Xenopus tropicalis: one gene and its partners. The protein of the gene in region 4 purifies or fractionates together with the protein of the main gene of each other region. This does not show direct contact. Links are inferred from orthologs where the notes say so. Each region holds a gene or a part of one and is shown on either strand. Other genes may lie near its edges.

Region 1 (4,135 bases), on a different chromosome or scaffold from region 4:
CTGTATATTTGTATTTATACATATGGGTAGGGGGTGCCATAGTGTTTCCCTTAGACAGTACAGTATGGGGGTACAGCTTATTGTGTGCCCAGAACATTCCCTCTCTGTATATTTGTATTTATACATATGGGTAGGGGGTGCCATAGTGTTTCCCTTAGACAGTACAGTATGGGGGTACAGCTTATTGTGTGCCCAGAACATTCCCTCTCTGTATATTTGTATTTATACATATGGGTAGGGGGTGCCATAGTGTTTCCCTTAGACAGTACAGTATGGGGGTACAGCTTATTGTGTGCCCAGAACATTCCCTCTCTGTATATTTGTATTTATACATATGGGTAGGGGGTGCCATAGTGTTTCCCTTAGACAGTACAGTATGGGGGTACAGCTTATTGTGTGCCCAGAACATTCCCTCTCTGTATATTTGTATTTATACATATGGGTAGGGGGTGCCATAGTGTTTCCCTTAGACAGTACAGTATGGGGGTACAGCTTATTGTGTGCCCAGAACATTCCTTCTCTGTATATTTGTATTTATACATATGGGTAGGGGGTGCCATAGTGTTTCCCTTAGACAGTACAGTATGGGGGGGGGGGCTGCATTACTCACACGCTCCCCAGTGACAGACACACTTACAGAGCCGCTGGGATTCAGTAATGAAGCAAACTCATGGCTTCGGCTCTAAAGCTGCCAGTAAAGCTGATTTACTTCCCCAGTTACTGGGGGGGGGGGGGGGGGGTCCCTAACCATTAAGCACATAACAAGGGGCTGCTAAATGGGAGGGAGGGGGGGCTGCTAAGCGCAATAATAACAGCGTTGGGCCCATATCCCGCCCCACTGGCGCTACTGCTACTGACTCAGCTTTGCTAATGCCCCGTGTATAACATACCCCCCCCCCCCCCAGCTCTCAGATTCTTACACAAAAGCCCCTCATTTCCCTGTGGAAAGATACACAGTTCCCCAAATGTAATTAGATAAGGGAATACCCCCCTCACTGAGGTACAAGTGTAACTAATCAGCTAAATGGGTCCCATTGGGGGAGTGAGTTTTGCAGGTTAAAGGGCAACTTCACCTTCAGTAGCTAAAAAAAATACCCAGAAATGTGTTCAAACTTCACAAAACCCGCCAAGTCTAGTAATGTGGGAGGGGCGTGTAGGGGGGGCGTGGCCACAGCGTCTCAATGTTGTACGGAATAGCCTCTCACTCTCAGCTCCTCCCCCTTCCCTCCGTGTCCCACAATCCCCTCTGAGCCGCCCCGGCCCCGCCCCCACACACACATTAACCCTCAGTTCCCCACTTCCCGCTCTCTCGCAGGTACTTCCGGCCGCAGCGCTGGTCACGGGGTGTGCGCGTCACGGAGAGGGACCCGGAAGCGGAAGTGGATGTTGTTGCTACGGGAGGAGAGATGGTGAGACAATATTATCCGATGCGCTGAGTGCGCTGTACCCGGGGATGGTGTGGGGGTGGGTTTGGGGGGGGCCCGGGAAGGGTTTGTGGGGGTCCCCTGGGGTGCGGGGGTATCGGGGTGGGGGGGGGAGTCCCCTCACATTGCTATTGGCTGTATCCAGCGCCTTAACCCTGTGTGTATCCCCTGTGTGTGTGTGTAGCCCCGCCCCCTGTGTGTATCCCCGCCCCTTGTGTGTAGCCCCGCCCCCTGTGTGTATTGTACTAATGGGCCCCACAGGTACAGGGGGTTATACTGTGTCACACTGGCACTGCCCCCCCAGCATTGTACTAATGGGCCCCACGGGTACAGGGGGTTATACTGTGTCACACTGGCACTGCCCCCCCAGCATTGTACTAATGGGCCCCACGGGTACAGGGGGTTATACTGTGTCACACTGGCACTGCCCCCCAGCATTGTACTAATGGGCCCCACGGGTACAGGGGGTTATACTGTGTCACACTGGCACTGCCCCCCCAGCATTGTACTAATGGGCCCCACGGGTACAGGGGGTTATACTGTGTCACACTGGCACTGCCCCCCCAGCATTGTACTAATGGGCCCCACGGGTACAGGGGGTTATACTGTGTCACACTGGCACTGCCCCCCCAGCATTGTACTAATGGGCCCCACGGGTACAGGGGGTTATACTGTGTCACACTGGCACTGCCCCCCAGCATTGTACTAATGGGCCCCACGGGTACAGGGGGTTATACTGTGTCACACTGGCACTGCCCCCCAGCATTGTACTAATGGGCCCCACGGGTACAGGGGGTTATACTGTGTCACACTGGCACTGCCCCCAGCATTGTACTAATGGGCCCCACGGGTACAGGGGGTTATACTGTGTCACACTGGCACTGCCCCCCAGCATTGTACTAATGGGCCCCACGGGTACAGGGGGTTATACTGTGTCACACTGGCACTGCCCCCCAGCATTGTACTAATGGGCCCCACGGGTACAGGGGGTTATACTGTGTCACACTGGCACTGCCCCCCAGCATTGTACTAATGGGCCCCACGGGTACAGGGGGTTATACTGTGTCACACTGGCACTGCCCCCAGCATTGTACTAATGGGCCCCACGGGTACAGGGGGTTATACTGTGTCACACTGGCACTGCCCCCCCAGCATTGTACTAATGGGCCCCACAGGTACAGGGGGTTATACTGTGTCACACTGGCACTGCCCCCCAGCATTGTACTAATGGGCCCCACGGGTACAGGGGGTTATACTGTGTCACACTGGCACTGCCCCCCCAGCATTGTACTAATGGGCCCCACGGGTACAGGGGGTTATACTGTGTCACACTGGCACTGCCCCCCAGCATTGTACTAATGGGCCCCACGGGTACAGGGGGTTATACTGTGTCACACTGGCACTGCCCCCCAGCATTGTACTAATGGGCCCCACGGGTACAGGGGTTATACTGTGTCACACTGGCACTGCCCCCCCAGCATTGTACTAATGGGCCCCACAGGTACAGGGGGTTATACTGTGTCACACTGGCACTGCCCCCCCAGCATTGTACTAATGGGCCCCACGGGTACAGGGGGTTATACTGTGTCACACTGGCACTGCCCCCCCAGCATTGTACTAATGGGCCCACGGGTACAGGGGGTTATACTGTGTCACACTGGCACTGCCCCCCAGCATTGTACTAATGGGCCCCACGGGTACAGGGGGTTATACTGTGTCACACTGGCACTGCCCCCCAGCATTGTACTAATGGGCCCCACGGGTACAGGGGGTTATACTGTGTCACACTGGCACTGCCCCCCAGCATTGTACTAATGGGCCCCACGGGTACAGGGGGTTATACTGTGTCACACTGGCACTGCCCCCCAGCATTGTACTAATGGGCCCCACAGGTACAGGGGGTTATACTGTGTCACACTGGCACTGCCCCCCAGCATTGTACTAATGGGCCCCACGGGTACAGGGGGTTATACTGTGTCACACTGGCACTGCCCCCCAGCATTGTACTAATGGGCCCCACGGGTACAGGGGGTTATACTGTGTCACACTGGCACTGCCCCCCAGCATTGTACTAATGGGCCCCACGGGTACAGGGGGTTATACTGTGTCACACTGGCACTGCCCCCCAGCATTGTACTAATGGGCCCCACAGGTACAGGGGGTTATACTGTGTCACACTGGCACTGCCCCCCAGCATTGTACTAATGGGCCCCACGGGTACAGGGGGTTATACTGTGTCACACTGGCACTGCCCCCCAGCATTGTACTAATGGGCCCCACAGGTACAGGGGGTTATACTGTGTCACACTGGCACTGCCCCCCCAGCATTGTACTAATGGGCCCCACGGGTACAGGGGGTTATACTGTGTCACACTGGCACTGCCCCCCAGCATTGTACTAATGGGCCTCACAGGTACAGGGGGTTATACTGTGTCACACTGGCACTGCCCCCCAGCATTGTACTAATGGGCCCCACGGGTACAGGGGGTTATACTGTGTCACACTGGCACTGCCCCCCCAGCATTGTACTAATGGGCCCCACAGGTACAGGGGGTTATACTGTGTCACACTGGCACTGCCCCCCAGCATTGTACTAATGGGCCCCACGGGTACAGGGGGTTATACTGTGTCACACTGGCACTGCCCCCCAGCATTGTACTAATGGGCCCCACGGGTACAGGGGGTTATACTGTGTCACACTGGCACTGCCC
Region 2 (3,565 bases), on a different chromosome or scaffold from region 4:
GACATCTATCAAAGGAAACTTAAAAGCAATGTGTACCATGTATAAATATAAGCTACCTCTGGCTTCATCCTGTGTATGTTTTATTTTATCAGTGTATTGGCTTTGTGTACTATTAGTGACATTAAAGGGGATGTAAAGTCATTTTTAAATGCATATATAGGTCCTTATGACTAAATTATACAACTTTGTAATATCTGTTAAAATTTTTGTACCTGTTTTGAGATACAAGTGATCGTTACTACAGTCTTATTTTATCTCCCTTGATGGATGCTGGCCATTCTGCTTATGTGTAAATTCTTGGCAGCCCCTGTGATGCTGAACTGTTAGACAGGGGTCAAGGGTGCTTAACCCTGCTCTACAAATGTATATATTCTATGCACTGACATTACTTTCATTTATAAGATTAATATTCAGTGTGCTGTGCCACCTGCAGATTCTGTTGCTCCTTGCAGCTTAGTTCTCTTCAGCATAAAGGCAAAGACATTACATTAAATGACATCAAAGTCAATGCAAAAAATAAGATAAAGCAGTACCCAAAAAGAATGCTATGGTGAAGCGCTACTTTTGTTATATGACCAACAGACCTTGTTTATACCTGTACAATAAATTCTTTTCTCAACACTGCATCCAAAGCCTTTGCAACACCATAGATCATTTTCTACAACACCAGTATCTAACTTTGAGACCCTACTGCACTGTTATCATCAGGTGCATTTCTGAGATATATGTTATTTAAAGCCATGCTGAATACAATTACATTATTGTTCTAAATGCAGTATAATTCAGATTACAATCTAACAACAAACCACCCCGGCTAAGACTGTATTGCTATTTTAAAACAGAAATTACATCTGTTGTCTGCCAGTTTATCAGCCATCTTCCAAATTAAGAGTAGTAAAATTTAATATATTAACCTGAATTAAATAGACCATATCCCTCTAAGGTCTCCTGAAAGCATTCCATCAGGCCCTGGAGCTATGTTCATGTTAGTTATGTCTAATATTTTTTTGGCCCCCACCTTACAGCAATCAAGAGTAACTTGCTCATGTGAAGCCTTCTAAACTACAACTATGCAAGTAATGAAACGCTATGAGAGTAACTGCTTTTTCTAAGTCTAGATTTAAAAAAGTCTTACCTGTCTAATATTTTGTCCCACATACTCAATAACCATCTCATCAGCTATAATTGGTTCCATGGCAAAAAGACCCCAGTCGTGAATATGGCTCTTGCAGAAACGCAACTTCTTCTTTCGGAACTTAAAAAAGAAAACAAAAATTCATATGAAGCCAGTGCAGAATATTCTAAGGTAATAGGGCAGATTTTATTATCAGTGATTCAAAAATATACATAACTAGCACACTATCACTATATTGGTATAACAGTATAATTGGTAGAATAATGCAGTTTACTAACTCTGTAATATGCTACATATTATCATATTGCACTTTAAATTAATATTAAAGTGGTTTCAAACAGAGTGAGACATTTAGCATCCAAGTTAAGCTTGAACTGCATCCACGGAAAGCAAATAAGCAAGACTTCCAACTGGCCACATACCTTCAGCTGATTGAATTTGAGCAAGTCGCTGTCACAGCTTCCAGTGAAGGAAGAGAGCAGTCTGCGCTGTTCTGACCTTCTTTCCGAGCCCGCTCGGGTGGAGGCTTGAGGCTGAGCTGGGATACTCTTTCCCTAGGTATCAAAGGAGACAGTAAAAAGAATTATAGATTACAAGACCCTTTTAACAGAACACATCAATGCATTTACATTTTCTTAACAGTGAAAAATACAAGCCCGCAAAACAAAAAAAAAACACAAATAAACTCACAGTACTAAAAGTACTAAAAGTTAAAGCTCCCTTTAATATAGAAAAAAAATTATGCTCTTCATCCATTATTGCAGTATGATTTAAAATGCATGCCTGTTCACACACAAAACTCTTACCTGGGTATCGATGGGAAGTTCTTCAGTCAAAGAACGGTTGTTGATGAGGTATTTAAGTTTGTCTTTCTTATCAATTTTATAATATCCCTCGCTACGAGCACATCCTGTTACATGCTCCCGTAAACCATCATCTCGCTTCTTCTTCTTGGGGGAATAAACACTGGTTGGTGAGCATATGTTAAGGAAAACCGGTAATGGCTCACTGTAAATTTATTTAGAGGTTCAAGTTAAAATTGCAATCACACCCAAAATATATTAAAATGCCTTTTATAAACCATAAAATATGCATTTTGCCCCCATTTCTGGAGCATTCTAGCCACATGAACCTATGATAGGTCCCACATCTAAGACTGTTAAATAGTATATTGTAATATAAAGTTTTTTTTATCAGTCCTTGTAATTATTTTAAAGCGATACTGGCAAATGGTAAGTATCACAATGCAGTTTGGTAAAGGAGCTGTTATAGTTTACCATTTTTATTTGTTCGAGTGCTATGTTCTCCTTTTGTTTCTCTGCCATGCACCGCTTACCACCTGGGTACACATTGTAACTATTACAATATCATACACTATGCTACATATGTATGTTTCAGAAATCCATTATGTACATTAATGGGACCTGTTATTCAGAATGTTTGGGGTCTTGGGTTTTCTGGATAAGGCATTTTTCCATAATTTGGATCTCCATATCTTAAGTCTACTAAAAATCATTTGAATATTAAATAAGCCAAATAGTACTGCTCTCTGAAAAGAATTAATTATATCTGAGATGGAATAAAGTACAAGGTACTGATTGATTATTACTGAGAAAAAAAAGAAATGTTTTAAAATTAGAATTATTTTATAGGACAAAGCTTTAAGCGCAAATGACATATCCCTGCATATTTGCATGTATACATATGAATAGGATTGCCATATTGCTTGGTTTATCTGAGGCATTTATCACAGACCTTAACAGTTTCATTTAAATTAAGCTCCATGATCACTAGATGGGGCTCCAAGCTTTATAGCATCTTCTAGTCATATGCATAAATAATTTTGCAGATAAAGAAAAGCCCCTGTATATTATAGATATTTTAAGAAAAATAAATTATTGTTAAAACTATTTGTAAACAGGGAAACTTTCTATTAATACTGTCCGCTGGAAAATCTATGGCATCAGCATAAAAGTACCATAGCACCAAAAACTTAGATTTTGTAATTTTGCAGTTCTCAGACGTCTCTTTGATGCTGTGCTACCTTTTTACTAGTACGGGGGCATAAAAAATAAGCCAACATTAAAATTTTTTTTAAAAAATTAAGAGCAATTTCATTAAAATATTCCAGGAAGGATTCGGATTTCCTACACACAGTTCTGCATAACTTGAAGCTAATATTTTGGAACAAATCATATTTACACATGGTTGTGCATCAATCATGTGCATTCAGTGTTGGAAATAAGCAAAGCTTTTGCACTAAAAAGACCTGAGGTGACAAAAACAAATGCATACATATATACATACATACATATGGGTTGCCAGTTTTAAGAAGGACATTTTGTAACACACAATTCATTTTATAAACCCAAAGTTCATGCTTTGCATTTTATGCTTACAATTTCATTTTCTAATGATAAACTGTAGAAG
Region 3 (4,176 bases), on a different chromosome or scaffold from region 4:
TTAGCAGAGGCAATTCTCAGTATTATCTATGATAGGGAATTTTCTGGCATTTAGTAGCCGTGACAAGTAGCTGCTACTAAGTAGCTCTATGTGTCTTTACCCTAAGGGCCTTGACACACGGGTAGATTAGTCTCGTTGTGACAAATCTCTGTTGTTGCGGGTGACTTATCTCCCCACAATGCCTTCCCACCAGCTAGAATGTAAATCACCAGTGGGATGGCATACATGGCACAGCAATTTGCCAAAGTCGACGAAGTTTCCTTGCAACTGAAGTTGCCTTGAGAGGAAACTACAGCAACTTTCACAAATCGCTGCGCCGCGTATGCCATCCCACTGGTGATTTACATTGTAGATGGTGGGATGGCATTGTGGGGAGATGTCACCTGCGATGACGGAGATTTGTCCCAGCGCATCTAATCTCCCCGTGTGTCACGGCCCTAAAAAGGCCATAGGTTCACTGCTACCCCTGCAATAATATATATATACGCACACAGGCCCGCCATGGGGGGGTGAGGGGTACAGTTGTGCCGGGCCTTATATGCCTACACATATACCTACAAATGAACATTTGGTCACAACTGTGGCAATTTTTTAATTATTGCCAGTTTTGAAAATGGCTGAGGTTTAGCTTTTCTTACATACAGAATTTACAAAAATCGAAAATTCTGGAATCTGACTGAAAAAGGGGATATAAACCCTAACTTGAATATAAAATTTGATGAAATTTGATCAAATGCGTCTCTACGTATAAATCAAATGATATATACATGCATGAAGGCAATAAGGCCTGTGCAGGTATATACGGTAATGGAGGGAGGCGGGGAGCCCTGGGCCCGCAGCCCCCCTCACACACTGCATCCTGACACACGGCTCGCTCTGACGTCACGGTTGCTAGGATACCGAGGCTCATGGAACAGTCCAAAACATGAGCCAAGCCCTGAAGAATTATCCAGCGCCTCACGACAAGGGGCGTTTCGATGGGCGGAGCCTTGGGAACGGGCGCCAACAGCATTTCGGCAACCTTAAGTTCTGGCAACTGCGTCACGATTTCAAGACCGCCAGCTGTCACTAAGATCCGCCTTTAAAGTCACAGCTAAAGTTGATAAGGGGCGTGGTATTTTCGTTGAGAGGCGGTACTCTTAGATGTGTTGTCCAGTACGACGCTGCCTATTGGCTGTCGAGCATTATTATTCTATCTGTTAAACTAAAGTACGGGCCCTCTGTGTTTTCCCGCCCATTTTGTGTGACTGGTCTTTCTGCCCCGAAGCCTCCTTGTGGGCGTGGCTGTGCGGCTGTTGTGACGCGGCTCCGCCCGGCTTGTGTTCAGCTGCTGTGCTGAGGGGAACGCAAAATGGCGGACGGAGAGCTGAACGTGGATAGTCTGATCAGCCGACTGCTGGAGGGTAAGTGCCCGGGCCGGCACCGCGGGGGGGAATGGGGGAGAGCTGGGGTGAGAAAGTGAGGGCATTCGGCTGCGGCCAGAGCGACCCCTACAGCTGGGAACTGCGCGCCTGGGAAGTCTAACGTCTGCCCTGCCTGTGGCACTGGGGCCGGGCCTTGGCCTGGGGAGCCGAGCCGTGTGCCCGGGGAGCCGAGCCTGGCCCTGGGGTGTGTGCCCGGGGAGCCGAGCCGTGTGCCCGGGGAGCCGAGCCGTGTGCCCGGGGAGCCGAGCCTTGTGCCCGGGGAGCCGAGCCTTGTGCCCGGGGAGCCGAGCCGTGTGCCCGGGGAGCCTGGCCCTGGGGTGTGTGCCCGGGGAGCCGAGCCTTGTGCCCGGGGAGCCTGGCCCTGGGGTGTGTGCCCGGGGAGCCGAGCCTTGTGCCCGGGGAGCCTGGCCCTGGGGTGTGTGCCCGGGGAGCCGAGCCTGGGCTAGTAATGGGGCCCAGTGGCCCTGCCGCTGAGTGGGGCAAGTGCTTGGGAGGGAGATTTGGCTTGTTAGTAAGGTATGTGGGACAGTTGTACATTAATGGGCCACAGAGAGGCAAGTGGATTATTAGTGGGGCCACAGGAGGGCAAAGTAGGCTATTAATGGGGTGCCGCGGGTGAGGGTGGGCTATTAATAGGGGCAGGTGGGCTATTAATGGGGCGCAGAGCAGGGGCAGGTGGGCTATTAATGGGGCGCAGAGCAGGGGCAGGTGGGCTATTAATGGGGCGCAGAGCAGGGGCAGGTGGGCTATTAATGGGGCGCAGAGCAGGGGCAGGTGGGCTATTAATGGGGCGCAGAGCAGGGGCAGGTGGGCTATTAATGGGGCGCAGAGCAGGGGCAGGTGGGCTATTAATGGATTTATGGGAAGAGGGGCAGGTTGCTCTTTATGGTACATTATACTGGCATGTGGGTGCCAATACTGTATTACTGCTTCTGAAATTGGAGACGATAATTAGCTCAGCTTCTTAGTTTTTTATTAATTTGAGTTAAACCTTTGTGTTCTGCCTGTGGCCCCCCCGCACGTGGAACCCCTAGTGTTGCCCTGCCTGTGGCCCCCGCACGTGGAACCCCTAGTGTTGCCCTGCCTGTGGCCCCCCCGCACATGGAACCCCTAGTGTTGCCCTGCCTGTGGCCCCCGCACGTGGAACCCCTAGTGTTGCCCTGCCTGTGGCCCCCGCACGTGGAACCCCTAGTGTTGCCCTGCCTGTGGCCCCCCCGCACGTGGAACCCCTAGTGTTGCCCTGCCTGTGGCCCCCGCACGTGGAACCCCTAGTGTTGCCCTGCCTGTGGCCCCCGCACGTGTTGCCCTGCCTGTGGCCCCCCCGCACATGGAACCCCTAGTGTTGCCCTGCCTGTGGCCCCCGCAGATGAAGCCAGGGCCTGTGTTGGAGCTCACATACTCATGTTGAATGTGTAACTGATAATATTGTTCAGACTTGTAACACTGAGTATAGACCTTAAGCCTCAACCATAACTGAAATGTAACATTAGTGACGGTGCTTTATATTTTCTTGTTGTTTCTGCAAGATAAGCGCTTGGGCAGTGTATGGGTCCATTAGGGTTTAGGTTATTTACAACTGAAGGAGCTGGGCCCACCCACGGGTCCCACTGCCACTCATACGTACAGCCAGTCCTCCTGAGATACTGTATTGCGTGTTCTGACCCAGGTTCTGTTTATCGCCATGACCTGTTGGTCCCTATCACTCTTGTGTATTGGATTTTACTATAACCTTTACTCTGTTATAAAGGTCAGAGAGCTGCTAATGTAGCACAGAATACACAGGGTGGCTGCACTCTGTATCTGCCGGACGGGAGGGTATATTGATTAACCTGATGTTCCGAGAGGCTAATAAGTGCCCCAACCATTCTGCATAGCAGCACTTATTACCCTCCTGTTTGTAAGTTACACACCCATGTACACTGGAAACTTTGCAGGGCATGGGCCTCCTCATGTTTCTCTCAATGTGTAGATAGATATTCTAGCAGGGAAACATATAGAAAGTAGCCTGTCATGCAGCAGAGTCTATAGCAAATAGGCTGATGGTTTAATAATATTATGTGTGTGTGGGTATAGAAAGAACACTGGTATTCTGGTTTATGCAAACCGAATTTGCCTCCAAATAAGGAATTCAAAAAAAAATGTGTGTTCTAGTGGCGGTGTGTTCTAGTGGCGGTGTGTTCTAGTGGCGGTGTGTTCTAGTGGCGGTGTGTTCTAGTGGCGGTGTGTTCTAGTGCATATAGGGAATAGGCTGATGTTTTTAGGAGTTCCATCTTTGAGAGTATAGAGAGAAGGCTGAAGTTCTGAGATGTACCTTCTTGGGGAATATAGGAGATTGCATGAAGTTCTAGGTGTGTCATGCAAGGAGTTCCCTGTATTTCTAGGTTTGCCACAGTGTGGAATTAGAAAGTTGGTATCTATAACTGTGTTAATTTTAAACACTTGACTAAGCTTTAGAAATAAATATTGATAAAAAAAAGTTAAATGAACTGCAGCTCTGTGGTTGCACAGAATACATCTGTTTTGAAAGTGAAATGTAGCTTCACCTACCTGAACTTGCAGCGTTGCAGTAAAGCTGGTCAGATACAAATATTTACTGCTGACTGTGTCACTCTGCAGTGAGTTGTCTGAACTGGGTAAAGGGTAATATTAATCTTCAGATTAAGATTCACTTCGATGGCAAAATTGATGTAGTTGCCACACAATTGGATCTAGGCCCAAGTGGCCCATTGGGCCCCTTTATATTAATAGATGG
Region 4 (4,127 bases):
AGTCGAACCCCGAATGCTTTTGTGAAAGATTCTGCCAAATACTGAACCAAATCCTAATTTGCATATGCAACCTAAGGAACAGAATGCACAAGAAAGAACCATGTGCAGCAAAACATTTTCTACTTCAGCTTATATGTGGCGAAAAGTCCCATGATTTTAAGGATTCTGATTCCGCCCAGGACTGAATCCTGGATTTGGTGCATCCCTACTGACAACAAGCTTTATTTTTCACAAATTACCACACAACCCAGTTTCAGGAAAACCAAAAGTCCAGTGTCGGACTCCTCCAGACTACAGGTGCATGGTGCTCCCCCAGCCCAGCACGACTGACAGATCCAGCCTGCATAGTTAAACTGGTGAGACCTGGACTAGAACTGTATTTGATTTTCTACTGAAGCTGCTTATTCTTCCTGCTTGTTGGAACCCCTAGGCCTGAGGATTTATGGGTTGTTGGAAAGGATGCACCATATCCAGAATTAGGTTTAGGATTCGGCCAAATCCAAGTACCTGGCTGAACCAAATCCTTAAAACTGTGATTTTTTTTGTCAAATGAACATGGAACTTGAACATTTTTAACCACGCGCTGCACGTGCGGTTCTCTCGAATCCTTCCATAGCCTTATGCAAAGTAGGATCCAAATTAGTTTCAGTATTCAGCCGAAACTTTCATTAAAGATTCAGGGTTTGGCCAAATCCCAGAATTTTGGATTCAGCACATCCATTGCTATTGATACCTTGACAAGTGGACAACGTTTCTTTATTAATAATAATTGCAGTAAGTTACACCAATTACCAGTATTTAGTCAAGGCCACAAAGAACACTGTTAAGAACACTGAACACTAGTCAGCCTTTGCGCATGGCTGCATTGTGAGCGTTGTAGCCAACAGCAGCTGGCGCACATTACATTGCCTACCACTGCTTCCCCATGGACAAATAGAGAATGTTGACACTTCAAAAAAAATACTTGAAAGCATGTATTCTCACTCTTTTACTGACTGATTGGGCGAACCCGAGAATGCTTCAGGACATTACGAGTATTCCTCGCACACCAGCCTGGAACGAGTTCTCTTGCCACAATCAACATGGCGACACCGTAAAACCACTTCCGCCATGGCGCCGTTCTGTAGGCGTTATCCTGCAGGACGTCGTTACGCATGACGCCAGAGACGTTTCCGTATTGCGTCTACCCCCTGAATCAGCCAATAGCACATGACGCTTTTCCAGGAGCGGGCTGTCTCCTTCCCGGCTTCAGAAATAACATGGCGGAGACAATGAGAATGTAGGAACGCGCGCGATCCGTATGCCCAAATGTCGCACAACTACCAGGCGCCGATAAGCTGGTGATCGGGAAGGAACGTATAAAGTAGCTTCTCTTAACTTTCGGGAGGGTAAATACTGCCATTCGTAAGGCCCGGGTCCTCCTGAAAACGTGGCTCGACTCGCAAGGAACTGCTCGTTCTGTCTGGCCTATTTCTAAAAGGTTGTTCATATATCTGATACTAGAGCCAGCTTTATATGCCCGCCCATGCTTATTGTACATTGACTAGTATAGCAAGTGCTTTACGGCAGATTAGCAGCCACATTGCCCGGGATCGCAGTAGGAACTGACAAAGTCCACAAGAATGAATATTATTTCCAATCAGCTACTCAGTATGTGTGTTTTACTAGTTTTAGCATTTCAAAGGAGGTGGTCCATGCCTTTCAGCATTCAGGGGGGGCGTTTGCACTAAGCCCCCAGCACTATAGGGCTCTGTTAGGACATTAATTTTGATAAAACCTTTAATATATGTTTCATCTTTTAAGGAATTCTATATATTGAAAACATTTTACATCAGAGATGTCCAGTCTCTGCCTTTCAGCTGCTGTTTAACTGCAGTCATGGTAGATGAGGGTTGCAGTTCATGAATTGGAGAATCACTACTAGTTGGAACACCAGAATTTCTTCAGTGATCAGGGCTCCCATTCCATCTATAAAGGGCAGTATTCCCCCATTTCCAGTTTGTTGGAACGTAAGCAAGTAATCCCGCCCATACACAAACCTAAATGGTGGTAAAGTTAGAGGTGATCCTTGCTCCTTCTGCTTTGGGTGCTTAACATTTGGCTAAACCATTTTATTCTCGCCTACAGTCCAGTATCTAGACCTCTGCCTTTTAAGACAAACACCGTTATGCCGTCAAGTATAAACACATTTTCTGTTTTCCGCTGAGTATACACATGAACCTCTGACATCACATGAAAGCTTGTTGAATTCCGCTGCACATTTAATGTAACTTTAATTATATTGCTGTATGTAGGCAGGCCTGGACTGTTAATCTGTGGATTTTTGCAAATGCCAGAGGGGCTGCTGTAAGTTACTATAGGCAGTCACCATTCAGTGAGCTGGTTGGGGACTGTTTGGGCCTATTTTGAGTCCCAGACTAGACCAGTATTTAGAAGTTCAGACTAATCTGTGGGAATCCATGCACTGCTTAATTAAACATTTGCATAAACAGAATTTTCTTGAGTAAAGGGGTCTGTGATAGCAGTTAAATGCTGTGAGAAATTGACCTATTAGGGTTAGGTGCTAGGAGCTTGAAGCTCTTTATGGGGTCATAATGATTATATGTATTGTGGTCTTTTGGGTATATAGAATGTGTTTTCCCACATTATTGACCTAGACTGCTTATTCTTCCTGCACAAGCCCATATTAAATGCCATGCAGAGGCTGTACAGACAGTGACTAGGGCAATATTCTAATATCATTAAAACTCTATGGGGAAATCTAGATGTGGCATTGTCTATTAGACCAGGAATCGGTAACTCATCTGCCTTAGAGATGCTGAACTGCAACTTCCAGTGTCCAGTCAAATGCTGTTGGGGTACTAGTGGTCTTTTGATAGACTCAGATTGCTTTTTAATGATGTACAAAGGCCAGTTTTTAACCATAAGACTAATCCAGAGGTCTGATGTAACTGGGAAATGAGCACTTACTTACTAACCCCCCTCATGTTCTTATGCACTACTGCAGAATATAGGATTTTGTCCCGATTTGAACAGTTTATATATAAGTGCCCACTTAATTATGTCCTAACAGCCATCTGGTTTTTTTTTTCTAGTTTCAAATTTCTTAACCATTCATCATTTCCCTTTTTGCAGGGGCCTGCTGTCCCAGCACATTGGGTCATCATGAAGCTCACCGATAATGTGCTCCGAAGTTTCCGTGTGGCAAAGGTCTTCCGGGAAAACTCTGATAAAATAAATTGCTTTGACTTTAGTCCAACTGGTGAAACAGTCATATCCAGCAGCGACGATGATTCAATTGTGCTTTATGATTGCCAGGAGGGGAAGTAAGTACATATGTGATATTTAAAATACCTTTTTATGTTGGGAACTAATGTCAGCAAACATATTTACCTGACTGAAGAGCTCACCCCTAAATGCTGTGTTTTCACTTTTGACTAATAAATCACAGGAGAACACCCCCCTTGAAAATATTTCCATGTGCTGGTCCTGTTTTGTATAGACACTGTTAAGGGTATCGTTCTCTTCCAGTACTGTAGCACAGGTAGACGAGACAGGGTATGCCTGCAGACATGGAAATTAGGGTACATGTTCACACTGGTTGGACAGCTCTGCCCTAACAAAACATAGGCTGAAAATGTCAGTAGTAAAGCACAGTAAAGCTGTATTGATTCACATTTACAGCAGCCCTATGCATAGTATGTTACACCCCAGTGATCCCCTCTGTACGTGCTCTTTTTTGTTCCACCCCTGTGAATAAGAATGCTATGATTGGCACATACACACATTGCGTAGTAAGCATAGAGTCAGTGTGTCAGTGATCCCCAACCAGTGGCTCGGGGCAACATGTTGCTCCCCAACCCCTGGGATGTTGCTCTCAGTGCCCCCAAACCAGGTAGTTATTTTGGAATTCCTGGCTTGGGGCAAGTTTTGGTTGAATAAAAACAAGATTTGCTACCAAATAAAGCCTCCTGTAAGCTGATAGTGTGCATAGAGTCTACCTAATAGCCAATCTTAGCCCTTATTTGGCATCTCCATGAACTTTTATGATGCTTGTGTTGTCTCTAAGTTTTTATACATTTGGCTGTGGCTCACGAGTAAGAAAGTTTGGGGACCCCTGCTGTATG

Evidence for each region.
Region 1: the proteins of wdr82 (region 4) and cxxc1 purify together in Homo sapiens (affinity purification with western blotting; 7 studies listed by BioGRID and IntAct, with this or other methods). This does not show direct contact. The link is inferred for Xenopus tropicalis from reciprocal best matches to the Homo sapiens genes WDR82 and CXXC1.
Region 2: the proteins of wdr82 (region 4) and setd1b purify together in Homo sapiens (affinity purification with western blotting; 4 studies listed by BioGRID, with this or other methods). This does not show direct contact. The link is inferred for Xenopus tropicalis from reciprocal best matches to the Homo sapiens genes WDR82 and SETD1B.
Region 3: the proteins of wdr82 (region 4) and ppp1cb purify together in Homo sapiens (affinity purification with mass spectrometry; 5 studies listed by BioGRID and IntAct, with this or other methods). This does not show direct contact. The link is inferred for Xenopus tropicalis from reciprocal best matches to the Homo sapiens genes WDR82 and PPP1CB.

Annotation. Positions count from the first base shown.
Region 1 is NC_030684.2:1,148,043-1,152,177, forward strand, and holds the start of cxxc1 (CXXC-type zinc finger protein 1), read left to right. Parts: upstream 1-1,287; 5' UTR 1,288-1,406; coding exon 1,407-1,409; intron 1,410-4,135. UniProt on the Homo sapiens protein: Transcriptional activator that exhibits a unique DNA binding specificity for CpG unmethylated motifs with a preference for CpGG.
Region 2 is NC_030677.2:162,135,657-162,139,221, forward strand, and holds part of setd1b (histone-lysine N-methyltransferase SETD1B), read right to left. Parts: intron 2,109-3,565; coding exon 1,942-2,108; intron 1,690-1,941; coding exon 1,558-1,689; intron 1,256-1,557; coding exon 1,136-1,255; intron 1-1,135. UniProt on the Homo sapiens protein: Histone methyltransferase that catalyzes methyl group transfer from S-adenosyl-L-methionine to the epsilon-amino group of 'Lys-4' of histone H3 (H3K4) via a non-processive mechanism.
Region 3 is NC_030681.2:5,936,951-5,941,126, forward strand, and holds the start of ppp1cb (serine/threonine-protein phosphatase PP1-beta catalytic subunit), read left to right. Parts: upstream 1-1,345; 5' UTR 1,346-1,351; coding exon 1,352-1,403; intron 1,404-4,176. UniProt on the Homo sapiens protein: Protein phosphatase that associates with over 200 regulatory proteins to form highly specific holoenzymes which dephosphorylate hundreds of biological targets.
Region 4 is NC_030680.2:128,228,523-128,232,649, forward strand, and holds the start of wdr82 (WD repeat-containing protein 82), read left to right. Parts: upstream 1-1,272; 5' UTR 1,273-1,480; intron 1,481-3,135; 5' UTR 3,136-3,165; coding exon 3,166-3,326; intron 3,327-4,127. UniProt on the Homo sapiens protein: Regulatory component of the SET1/COMPASS complex implicated in the tethering of this complex to transcriptional start sites of active genes.